Linked DNA regions of Diceros bicornis minor. The protein of the gene in region 3 interacts with the protein of the main gene of each other region in a biochemical or structural test. Links are inferred from orthologs where the notes say so. Each region holds a gene or a part of one and is shown on either strand. Other genes may lie near its edges. The genes, in order: GDF2, BMP2 and BMPR2.

Region 1 (3,747 bases), on a different chromosome or scaffold from region 3:
ACCCAGAGCAGTGACAGAGCTCTTCTGGGGTCCCCGGCCAGCAGGCCTCAGTGTGTGTTCCTAGAGAGCAGGCTGGGGAGGCGCAAGGCTCAGTCAGACCCGGGATGGAGAAGTGGCAGCCAGAATGCAGCAACCCAGCTGACTGGGGCTTGCAGTGACTGCCATGATGTTTAGCACAGAATCGTCTCAAATCCTTACAGCTCGCTTCTGAACTGGAGGCTCAAAGAAGGGACTTCCTCTAGGTCACACTTGTGACTGATAAGTGAGGGACCTGGGATTTGAACCCTTGACTCGTCTGACTCCAAAGTCTTCCTCACCTCACTAAATTATAGGTGCCACCCACCATCTCTAACGCTCAGGAACTTGCTTCAAGATGAGAAACCGAGGCACAGAGCGCTTGAGCCACACAGGCAGGCTCCAACCCCACAAAGACCAGGCCTCTTACTAACACTGTTGGGGTCCTCACCCCATCTGCCACCCCCACGGAGGTTTGCCAGGGGCTTCTGGGAGTTTTGTGTCATTATTTCTATATTTGGAGGACTTGCTGCTCTTGTTTGTTTCCTGGATTCTTCGTTTTGTGGTCCAGGAGATGGAGCATGTGTCACCCTGTCTCGAGATTCTTCTGAACAGAGCTGGCAAGGAAATAAGGAAGGATCCTAATTAGGGAGCAATAACCCCACGGCGAAACTCGGATTTTTTGCAGCAGGCCATGTCCTTCCCACAAGCCCTGAGTGTTTGTCAGATGTTTACAGAGCCTTCATTAAGGGAGAGCTCCCCTAGATAAGAGGTCAGAGCGCGGCATCGAGGGCCAGATAAGCACAAGTGGAGGACACTCCGGGACTGCCTTTGAGCGCCTGTGAACTGGCCGGGGGGCTCTGTGCAGAGCGGGGGGCAGGACGATGCGGGCCCGCTCCTCCCCCGCTCCTCCCCGCTTCCGCTAACACACTCGGCGCCCGCAGACCCCTGTCCAGGGCGAGAGCGGGTCCCAAGATGTGCTGCGGGGCGCTGTGGGTGGCCCTGCCCGTGCTCGCCCTGCTGGCCTGCTCCGTGCAGGGGAAGCCGCTGGAGAGCCGGGGGCGGGCGCCGGCTGCGGGAGATGCCCGCCGCTTGCTAGGGGGGCCGGGAGGTGAGCAGGAAGGGGGCACCTTCGACCTGAGGATGTTCCTGGAGAACATGAAGGTGGATTTCCTGCGCAGCCTCAACCTGAGCGGGGTCCCCTCCCAGGACAAAACCCGCGCGGATCCGCCGCAGTACATGATCGACCTGTACAACAGATACACCTCCGACAAGTCGTCCACGCCCGCCTCCAACATCGTGCGCAGCTTCAGCGTGGAAGGTAGAGCCGGCTCCACCAGGGCACCCCACGGGGGGGAGGGATGCCGTGGTCAACAGCTATGCTGCCCAATAAGGTGGCCACTGGACGCATGAGGCTCTTGAAGTTTCCATTTAAATTAATTAAATGAAATATAATTAATAACTTGGTTCTTTAGTGTCACCAGCTTGGACTCAGGTGCTCAGCAGTCCTGTGTGGCAGATGGCCGCCCTATAGGGCAGTGCAGATCGTAGAACGTTTCAGTCATCCCAGAGAGGTCTACTGGACAGCTCTGCTCTAGAAGATTCTCCCTCCCTGGGCCCAGTGCCACTTTTAACACAGTGTGTGCGGTGGGAATGCCAGCTCCCTTTCTTCTGTCCCTTCCCTTCCTCCCCCTTCCCTACTGTCCCCTTCCTACCTAGAAACAGACAACGTATTCAGCCTCCGACCATCTGGTATATTTTTAAGCTTTGAAAGAATGTCTATTTCTTTCTCATTGAAAGGTGTCTAAAATTCAGATAAATTCCTCTGAGAGAGAAACATTGGAAAACAACTTAATGATTTTCTAAATATAAAATGATTTTCCTGATTTAGGAGGACTAAAAGATAACAGACGTCGACTTAGGGCTTCTGTCCACTGATTCACACGACACAGGGGAAATGATGTTGTGAGCAGGGAGGCCGAGGCCTGCAGATGCCCAGGTCGCTTGCCCAGGTCATGTGTTGGTTGCCGGCTGGGTGCTGACCCAGGCCCACCTGTCTGCACAGCTCAGGCTTCTCTGGCTGCTGCGGTCTCCCTCGAAACAGCCAGCGCACAGGGCCTCTCCCCTCCTGGGCTGGAGCCCTGCAGACTCCTAGCAGGTCTTTCTCAGGGCCATGGCAGACGAGACCCACCCGGCCCGCAGAGCACATGCCCAGACTAAAAGACACCGTGGTCATGATGCACGCCCAGCCCTGTTGGAGTTTCTGATTGCCCAAAAGAGGGAGAAAAATCTGGATTTTATGGGAACTTGCCTGATTCTTAAAACCTTGGCTTAATTTTTTAAACAATGCAGTCTGCAGGTCACCTAGATGCTGCCAGCATCTCACCAGGCCCATAGGGCAGGTCTGTAACCTCTGCTTTAGGGGAAGGCTGGGCTTCTTTGGCTGAACCTAATCACCAAATCCTATAGCCTGGGAGTCCAGCGTTTGGAGCCTTCTCTATGCACCCTCCCCCACCCCCACCCCCGCCTTGTCCATGCCCCAGAAACAAGTACTCTGAGCCCATCCTGGCTCTGCCTGTGGCCAGTGCTCCTGGAGGCCAATTATGCTTCCCTTCCAGATGGTCCGGGTGCAGCTCAGGGAGGGGGGCAGTTGTTTTCTGGATGTCTGATGTGGCCCCACGGCCATTTTCAAGGCACCCCTGCACTGCTTATAGACCCTTCTCACTATTCACGTATGCCATGGCAGCTCAACAGGCTCTGCAGGAATCAGAATGGCGCATCCATGCTGTGTGTAAGGCCATGTGCTATGTGGGGGTGGCGTGCACAGGTTGGGAGGAGGGTCTGGGGAGGACACAGAAATATTGGTTGAGCATCTGCTGTGAGCCAGAGACAGTGCTGGGTAAATTGCATGTGTCATCCTGTCGAAGCCTCACATCAACGCGGGGAGGCAGGTAGGATGAGCCCCGTTCTGCAGATGAGGAAACTGAGGCAGACAGAGACTCAGGATTTCTCCAAGGTCACAAGCCTAGGAAGGGGCAGAGTCAGGACTGGCATCAGTCTGTCACGCACCACCGGCTTTCACAACGGCACACGTCTCCCCTCACGTTGGCGTACAGTCGGTGCTCAAAAAAACGCAACTTCTCTTCCCTGTTTGTGACCGAGCCATGGTGTAATAGAGACGTGCTAATGGCCATGTGTCAGCCAGGAGAGCTGGGAAACCGAGACAATCACGTGGCTAAAAGGCAAGCCTTGTTTTTGCCTAACGTGACAAGGTAGTTGAGGCTAATATATTTTTTCCCTCAAACATTAAAAAATCATCCACTTTCGATTTGCTTGGAAGTTACAATTCTGAATGATTTCTACACTATTTAGAGGCTGAGATTTTTAATATTGTCTTCACGTTGGAATTTTACCATCCCCTGCCAGGATCTCTCCTTTAAAATCATACCCTCAGGACCTGCACTCTGAGGCTGACAGTGTGCTTTGCTGTTTTGTTTATTTGGCTCTTCTTTTTTTTTTTTTAAGTGAGGATCTTTATAGGATGTGTGCATTTTGGCAGTTAAACACCCTAAATCTCAGCCTGCACATCTGTAAAAGTGGAATAATAATTAGATCTTCCCAGGGTCACTATGAAGAGTAAAGTGAAATATAGTATGCAAAGCTCCTGGTACGATTCTGGGCATACAGTAGATGCTCAATAAAGAGTTGGACCTGTCAACTCCAAGGCAAGGC
Region 2 (3,747 bases), on a different chromosome or scaffold from region 3:
AGAAGACAGTGGGTCCCGGCCACCATGGTCGACCTGCGGACAGGGCCGACGTGAGTCACCGAGTTCCCCGCCCAGCCCTCCCCCCTTCCGCCCCCGCGGCCCCGGCTCCCGCTCGGTCCGCTTGCTTCCTCCTCCAGGGTTCCCACCTGGCTTGCAACACTCGCCGGGGATACTTCAGAGGAGCTGCAGCCCGAAAGTTTGGGAGAATGGAAGGCCCCTAGTTCCTGAGCCAGAAGGCTTCCCTCTCCCATCCTACTCTCAATCCGTCTGACATGATTTGCACCTTCCCCCGAGTCAATGACTGTCACCCTTTATTCTGTGACATTCGCGCCGACAGCCAGTTAAGGGAACCTGGGGAAACCACTGCTTGGTCTGACACCCCACTGTCCCCTAAACAAACCCAAACACACACTGCCCAGCTCTCGCCTGCATATAAACACGCACGAATGGTGCATGTGACTTCCTCAGAGGCACTGTATAGAACTTCCTGATACACACACACACACACACACACAGAGTCTATAACTTCCAGACCCAGTAAACTCAAGGCCACAACTTCCGAAGCCACTTGCAACTTGAAGCCACTTGCAACTTGTGGCCCACGCCTCTAACCTCAGAGGTGTCAGGACAGGCCACTCTATCCCCGAACCCCTCCTAATGCAGTCAAGATACACATGTATCTTCCTGGGATTACGTAAATGGCTAATATCTATTAATTCACGTGTCAGTAACAAGGTGGCACTGAAGTACTGACCCCCTCACATTCCTGGAAACAAACAGGGAGAACCCCAACTTGTAGTCTTTTCCCAAATGGTACGTGGCGCTGAGCAGAGAGCAGGTCTCCCACAGAACACTGAAGAAGGCAAAAGGAATCGCCATGGCAGGGCGTACAGGTTGGCAGCTAACGGGTGAAATCCAAGGGCCACCCTCTGGAAAGGATTTCTTTGACTGTTTTTTTTTTAATCATCTAAGTGTTAACAGCCCTAATAAAGTACCGAAGAGAGGGGAGGGAGGAGGGGCGGAAGAGTGCGAGCCAGGAGGGCGAGGCTGACGGGTCGCCGGGGGCGGTAGGATAGGGGCATCCCCGCAGGGGCACGGCTGCACGTGGACCTGAAGGGGGGCCTGTTTACGTCCGGCCAGGCCCGGCCCGGGACGGGCTCCGCCACCACCCCCCCAGTCCCTATCCCGGGCCCACGTCCTCTACCTTTAGGAGACCGCAGACCGTCTAAGAAGCACGCGGGGACACGTCCATTGAAAGAGCCTCCACATGGAAAAAGCTCTGGCCGAAGGACCTGGAGCAGGGACAGGATTCCCTTCCTTTGCCTCCTCCTTCTCCTCCCGGGTGCCGGCCGGGCAGTCCCTTTCTTCACGCAGGGAACGGCGTCTTGGGGTCGGGCCCAGCGGAGGAGTGGAGAGGCGGCGGGGTTCGGAGGCGGCGAGGCTGCGTCCGCAGGGGCAAAGGCACCGGCGCAAAGTGGGGAGCGCAAGTTATTCTCCCTGCAAGTTCAAGAAGTCTCCAGCCAAGTGCTGACACACAACAACAGCGAGCAGGGGGAGGAGTGCGGGGCAGGGAAGGGAAGGGAGAAAGGAAAAGCTGGTGCGGTCGTTGTCCTTAGGAACCAGCAGCGCCCGGGGGACGCGTGGCCCCGCGCGGGGCCGGCTCCGGGACTTGGGGGGCGAGGGTCGGGCGCTCCGCGCTAGCTCTGCCGCGGCCCATGGCTCGGGGCAGCCATCCTGGGCGACGCCGGGTCCGGGGAAGGGCGCAGCGGCGATCTCGGTGCCGGGCGAGCTGCCCCCCCGCATCACTCTGCTTTACTCCAGCGCTCCCCCATCAGCGCTAGCCAGTTGAAGCCCCCGCGGCTCCGGCGCTCCGGCGTCCTCGGGCGCATTCTCCGGCGAGTCGAGCCGAGTCCCAGGCCGCCGAGGCGGGTGGCCGCGCTCTCCCCTCGCTCTCCTAGCCCCCAGGCCAAGCTGCTGTGCCCTTTGTGGCCAGCCTGGAGTCCAATCACACTTCGGCCGGCGCGTCCCAGGCCCCCGAGCTCCGGCAGGAGGTGATCGGCATCGCGGCGCTCGGGCTCGGCTCCCGGCTCCCCGGCGCTCCGCGCGCCGGTCCTGGGCTCTGGCGCGGCCCGGGCAGCCGAGGCGACGGCGCAGTGGCGCGCACGGCCGGGCGCTCCAGCCCGCGCGGGGTCTGCGGCGCGCGGGTGCCTCGGAGCCCCCAGTAATCCGCGAGGCGCTCGCCCCGAGGTCGTCGGGGTCGGCGGCGGAGCCTGTGGCGGCTGATGTCCGGCGGTGGCTGCCAGTCCCCGGCGGGGTGTGGGAAGCACAGCGGCGGGCGCAGCGCGAGCCGGGCGCAGCGCGGCGCGGCGGGGCGAGGACTCCGGCGGCGGCGGCGGCGGCGGCGGCGCCGTGGCGCGGCGCTCGCGGCTTTTAAAGGGGACGCCGCCTGCCGTCTCCCTCCCGGCCGAGGCCGAACACCTCCCCCTCGGTGGCGCGGCTTGCCGGGGATCCCCGAGCGGGCGGGAGCGGCGCGCAGGGGTGTGGACCGAGCGCCGGGGCAGCCGCGGCGGGGTGGGGCCGGCGGCGGGGACGCGCGGCCGCCGTTGGGGGCGCTCGCGCCTCCAGCCCCTGCCCTCAAAGGGGAGAAAAACTGGAGCGCCGGACCCTCGCTGGGACTCCAGGGGCGAAATTTCAGAAAAGTACGAGGTCCAGCTTTTATTTCCTCACCGGCCCGTTATTCAGCTTTCAGTTTGAAGGTTTTCAGTGATAGACGATTGGGAAAAAAAAAAAATAACTCAGCGAAGTTACAAGGCATCTTGACATGGGCTTGGGGTAGACACTTTTGTGTTTCCCCGGGGTGGGAGGAGGATTAAAAGAAAACTAGAGATTGGAAACTGGATGTTATTTAGACTTTAACACACAGATATATGCATTACATATGCAAATGTATGTATAGGCACTTACATTTATAGAAATATATGTATACATTTATATTTATCTAAATATGCACATATATTTAGATAAATATATATGTAATATACAAATATACTCGTGTATGTCTCTAGAAATATATCCAATATATAAATATATGCTAACGATAGCACACATTTCTATAAATATACGTCTATATATGTGAAATGGATGTCAGCCTGCTATACATGACTTGCGCAACGTGGACTGTATGTGGCACCGTGAAGAGAGGATGAGAGGGATTTTATTTCTTTTTAGGGTAGCTATCTCTTCATGCCTTGTGATATTTATCTGGCCCAGCTCAGAGGAAGGTAAAATAATGCACAGTGGGAGCCAAGCAGAAAGACAATTCCGGTTTGAAACCTTAGAACCTTCAGCCCCACCCCCTTCCACCAGGCCCCAGCAGCAGGTCTGTGACGTGTGGTCAAGTCAGTTGTCTTCCTCAGCTGAAATATTCCCCAAATCCACACCATGAGTTTTGAGGCCAAGGCTTTCTGTTCCCCCCAGGATTCCAGGATTCTCCATGCATAGCGTGACAGGGTTACCCAAAAGGTCCCAGAAGCCAAGGGCAGAAGGTTTTTTGAAAAAGCCAAATCAGCAAAATCAAGTTTGCCTGCACAGAACCTTCAGCCTGCAAAGTAGAAAGAGAAAAGTCTGAATCGGGAGCTCATAACAATCTATTATGCATGTGTATTATTTTTTCAGTTGGGAAGCTAAAATAATTCTAGGTTCCGCTCACGTAAATCGGATTAGCAACCCACAGAGGGGAATTAGGCA
Region 3 (3,747 bases):
ACTGCCAGGAAGCTAGGGGGAGGGGTGGGAAGGTGTTGTGTTGTGGGTTTAGAGTTTCAGTCATGCAAGATAGGGGGGTTCTGGAGACCCGTTACACAACAATGTGCATGTGGTTGCACACCTGCAAATTGTTGGGAGGGAGAATTTTATGTTATGTGTTTTTTGCCAACAAAAAAAAAAAGAAAGTACTGTTATACGCTATAACGTATGAACCATGAGGTCAGTCACAAAAGATCACAAATTGTATGGTTCCATTTATATAAAATGTTCAGAAAGTGAAGATATAGAGACAGAAAGTAGATTGGTAGATGAGTACAGCTGGGATAAGGAAGTGTGTGTGGAAGGGAACAGAGATTAACTGCTAATGGGTACAGGGTTTCATGTTAAGGGGACTATAGAATACATTTGAGCTGTAAAGTCACAGAATCATTGAAATTTGAAGAAAATAATAGTTTTAATGTTCACTTAGAGTAACCCCCTTTATAAGAGAGGTTAACCCAGATAAGTTGTGACTTCCTCAAGAAAACATTTCCATTATCCCACTTTCGATATATTTTGTAATTTTTAAATGAAGTAAATTAATGACTATTCTACAGTAATCGAATAGTGTTTTTAATTTCAAAAAGATACTTATTGTAAATAACTCTGTTTTTGTCATCTCTGCTTTTCTTTCAGAGCAAAAGAGAGAAAATGAGGAGAGAATAGTTTGAACGACTAGTACTATGATTATTTTATATGTGGGAAAATATATAAATACTACTCAATGTATATTTAATATCTTAAGAAGTATACAACATCTTTTCATGATTAAAACACTCAACAAACTAGAAAGAGAAGGGAACTTCCTTAACCTTATAAAGGGCATCTATGAAAAACCCACAACTAACACCATACTTAATGGTGAAAAACTGAAAACTTTCCCTCTAAGATCAGGAACAAGACAAACATGTTGGCTCCTCCACTTCCATTCAACATTATACCTGAGATTCTAGGCCAAAAGAAACAAAGGAAAGAAAGAAAAAGAAAAAAGAAATAAAAGGCATCCAAATTAGAAAGGAAGAAGTAAAACTATCTTTATTTGCAAGTGACATGGTCTTGTACATAGAAAATACTAAGGAATTAGAGCTAATAAATGAGTTCAGCAAGGTTGCTGAATACAAGATCAATATACAAAAATCAACTGAATTTCTATATGCTAGCAATGAACAATCCAAAAGTGAAATTAAGAAAACAATTCCATTTACAATAGCACCAAAAAGAATAAATTAGGAATAAATTTAACAAAAGAATGCATGATTTGTACACTGAAAACTACAAAATATCATTGAAAGACACTGAAGAGCTAAATAATCAGAAAGATATCCATGCTCACTGATTGGAAGGCTTAATACTGTTAAAATAGCAATACTCCTCAAACTGATCTACATAACAATGCAATCCCTATCAAATATCAGTGCCTTTCTTCCAGAATTGATAAGCTGCTTCTAAATTCATATGGAAATGCAACGGATTCAGAATGGCAAAACAATCTTGAAAAAGAACAAAGTTGGAGGACTCACATTTCTCAATTTCAAAACCTACTACAAAGCAACAGTAATCACGACAGTGTGGTACTGGCATAAACACAGGCATATATATCAGTGAAAGAGAATTAAGAGTTCAAAAGTGAACTCTTACATGTATGGTCAATTGATTTTTGAGAAGGGTGCCAAGACAACTCAAAGGGGAAATAAGTTAGCCCTTCCAACAAGTGGCTGAGGATTCAGGTCATGATGGCAGCGTAGGGGGACTCTGAACTCACTTCCTGCCACGGACAAAACAAATTTACAACTCCTCTTGGAACAGTGACCCCTAAGAAAGAACCGAAAACCGGATAAAAAGAACCCCCACAACAAGGGACAGTGCTCACTGAGGTGGAAGAGGCAGAAATTCCTTTCTGGAGAGGAAAAAGCCATCTGCTAGCCCAGCACTTCACAGCCAGCTGGGAGCAATCTTAAGGTACGAAGCCATTCCTGGAGAAGGGGGGTGTCTGAGCAGGAGAGCTTTGCCACTATAAGCAGCTTTTGGACTCAGCACAACCAAGACAAATGTCATAATATCTGGCTTTGCTGGTATTAACAACAATGGGGAATACCCTGAGAAAAGCTATCCGACATAAGGGGAAAAAAAACGCTGCCCTTAAAGGGCCCACACACAAATTCATCCATTTCAGAAAGCAACCTAAAATCACCAGAAAGGTGCACAGTCCTTTGGTGAAAAGAGACTCACTTGATAGGCTCTGGGCGCATCTTGGTGAGAGGTGAGACCTCCGCAGGCTGCGACCACCTCCCCAGGGACTGAGACATTGGCGGCAGCCACTACTGTAACCTAGTACAGGCGTGCTGACACAGACGCTGGCAGATGCCATTGGAGTTCTTCCTCTGGCCTCTTAGTGCAGGGGTCTGCCCCACTCACTAGAGCACTGATTTAATCCAACACAGCCAGGCCAGGCAGCCCCCCCTAGGGACTGGACCCACCCAACAGCAAGCCCTTGGGCAACTTGTGGGCCCACCTCAGGCAGGCAAGGAGTGTGCAAGGGGCAGGCCTGTGTGGGCAGAGTGTGTGGGGTCTCTGCAGTGGGGCAAGTGGGTCTGCTTCAGTGGATCAGGGTGTGTGCACGGGGCAGGACTGTGTCGACGGGGTGTGTGGGCCTGCAGGTGGTGGGGCTTGTCAGCTGCAGCAGACTTGTGCTTCTCAAACAGCCATATAGGGAATTGGCCCCACCTTCCAAAGCGTGAAACCATTGCGTGCTCCCATGCCTCTGGTCAGCCCCACCCAGCTGTACTCCTGAGAGGGCTGACAACAGCCTCGCAGGCAGGAGGCCCATAGCAATTATAAGCCCCTGAGACGCAACCAGCCACGCTGGGGGCCTACTCACTTAACAGAAAAACTGCAACAGGAATGTGCTAATAGATCTTGCAGCCAACTGTGCTGGGGCTCCCCACGCCCAACAAGTGACTGAAGTGGATATTCATGCACAACTGGATATCCACGTTCAAAGGAATGAAGCTGGATCTCCCACTTCACACCATATACAAAAATTAACTCCAAATACATCAGAGACTCTAAACGTAAAAGCTAAAGCTATAAAACTCTCAGAAGAAAACATATGTATATATATTTGTGACCTTGGACTAGGTAATAGTGTCTTAGGTATGACACCAAAAAGGCACAATAACAAAAGGAAAAATATGTAATTTGGATTTCATCAATATTAAAAACTTTTATGCTTCAAAATACACCATTCAGAAAGTAAAAAACAATTCACAGAAAAAAATTTACAAATTGTATAGCTCAAAAGACTAGTATCCAGAATATAAAAAGTCTTACAACTCAACCAATATGATCCAGCAATTCCAATCCTACGTATATACCCAAGAGATATAAAAACATATCTTCACACAAAAACTTGTACATGAATATTCATAACCATATTAATCATAATAGTCAAAAAGCGTAAACAGGGGCTGGCCCGGTGGTGCAAGCAGTTACGTGCGCATGCTCCGCTTCAGCGGCCCAGGGTTTGCAGGTTCAGATCCCGGGTGGGCACCGACACACCCCTTGTCAAGCCATGCTGTGGCGGGATCCCAAATAAAGTAGAGGAAGATAGGCACAGATGTTAGCTCAGGGCCAATCTTCCTTAGCAAAAAAAAAAGAGGAGGATTGGCATCGGATGTTAGCTCAGGGCTGATCTTCCTCACACACACA

What was found.
Region 1: the proteins of BMPR2 (region 3) and GDF2 form a complex in vitro, tested with the Homo sapiens proteins (2 studies listed by BioGRID). The link is inferred for Diceros bicornis minor from reciprocal best matches to the Homo sapiens genes BMPR2 and GDF2.
Region 2: the proteins of BMPR2 (region 3) and BMP2 form a complex in vitro, tested with the Homo sapiens proteins (4 studies listed by BioGRID and IntAct, with this or other methods). The link is inferred for Diceros bicornis minor from reciprocal best matches to the Homo sapiens genes BMPR2 and BMP2.

What each region holds. Positions count from the first base shown.
Region 1 is NC_080745.1:11,555,922-11,559,668, reverse strand, and holds the start of GDF2 (growth/differentiation factor 2), read left to right. Parts: upstream 1-990; coding exon 991-1,336; intron 1,337-3,747. UniProt on the Homo sapiens protein: Potent circulating inhibitor of angiogenesis. Signals through the type I activin receptor ACVRL1 but not other Alks. Signaling through SMAD1 in endothelial cells requires TGF-beta coreceptor endoglin/ENG.
Region 2 is NC_080758.1:34,645,076-34,648,822, reverse strand, and holds the start of BMP2 (bone morphogenetic protein 2), read right to left. Parts: upstream 2,118-3,747; 5' UTR 1,205-2,117; intron 34-1,204; 5' UTR 27-33; coding exon 1-26. UniProt on the Homo sapiens protein: Growth factor of the TGF-beta superfamily that plays essential roles in many developmental processes, including cardiogenesis, neurogenesis, and osteogenesis. Induces cartilage and bone formation.
Region 3 is NC_080749.1:80,181,351-80,185,097, reverse strand, and holds the start of BMPR2 (bone morphogenetic protein receptor type-2), read right to left. Parts: upstream 2,423-3,747; 5' UTR 2,408-2,422; coding exon 2,269-2,407; intron 1-2,268. UniProt on the Homo sapiens protein: On ligand binding, forms a receptor complex consisting of two type II and two type I transmembrane serine/threonine kinases.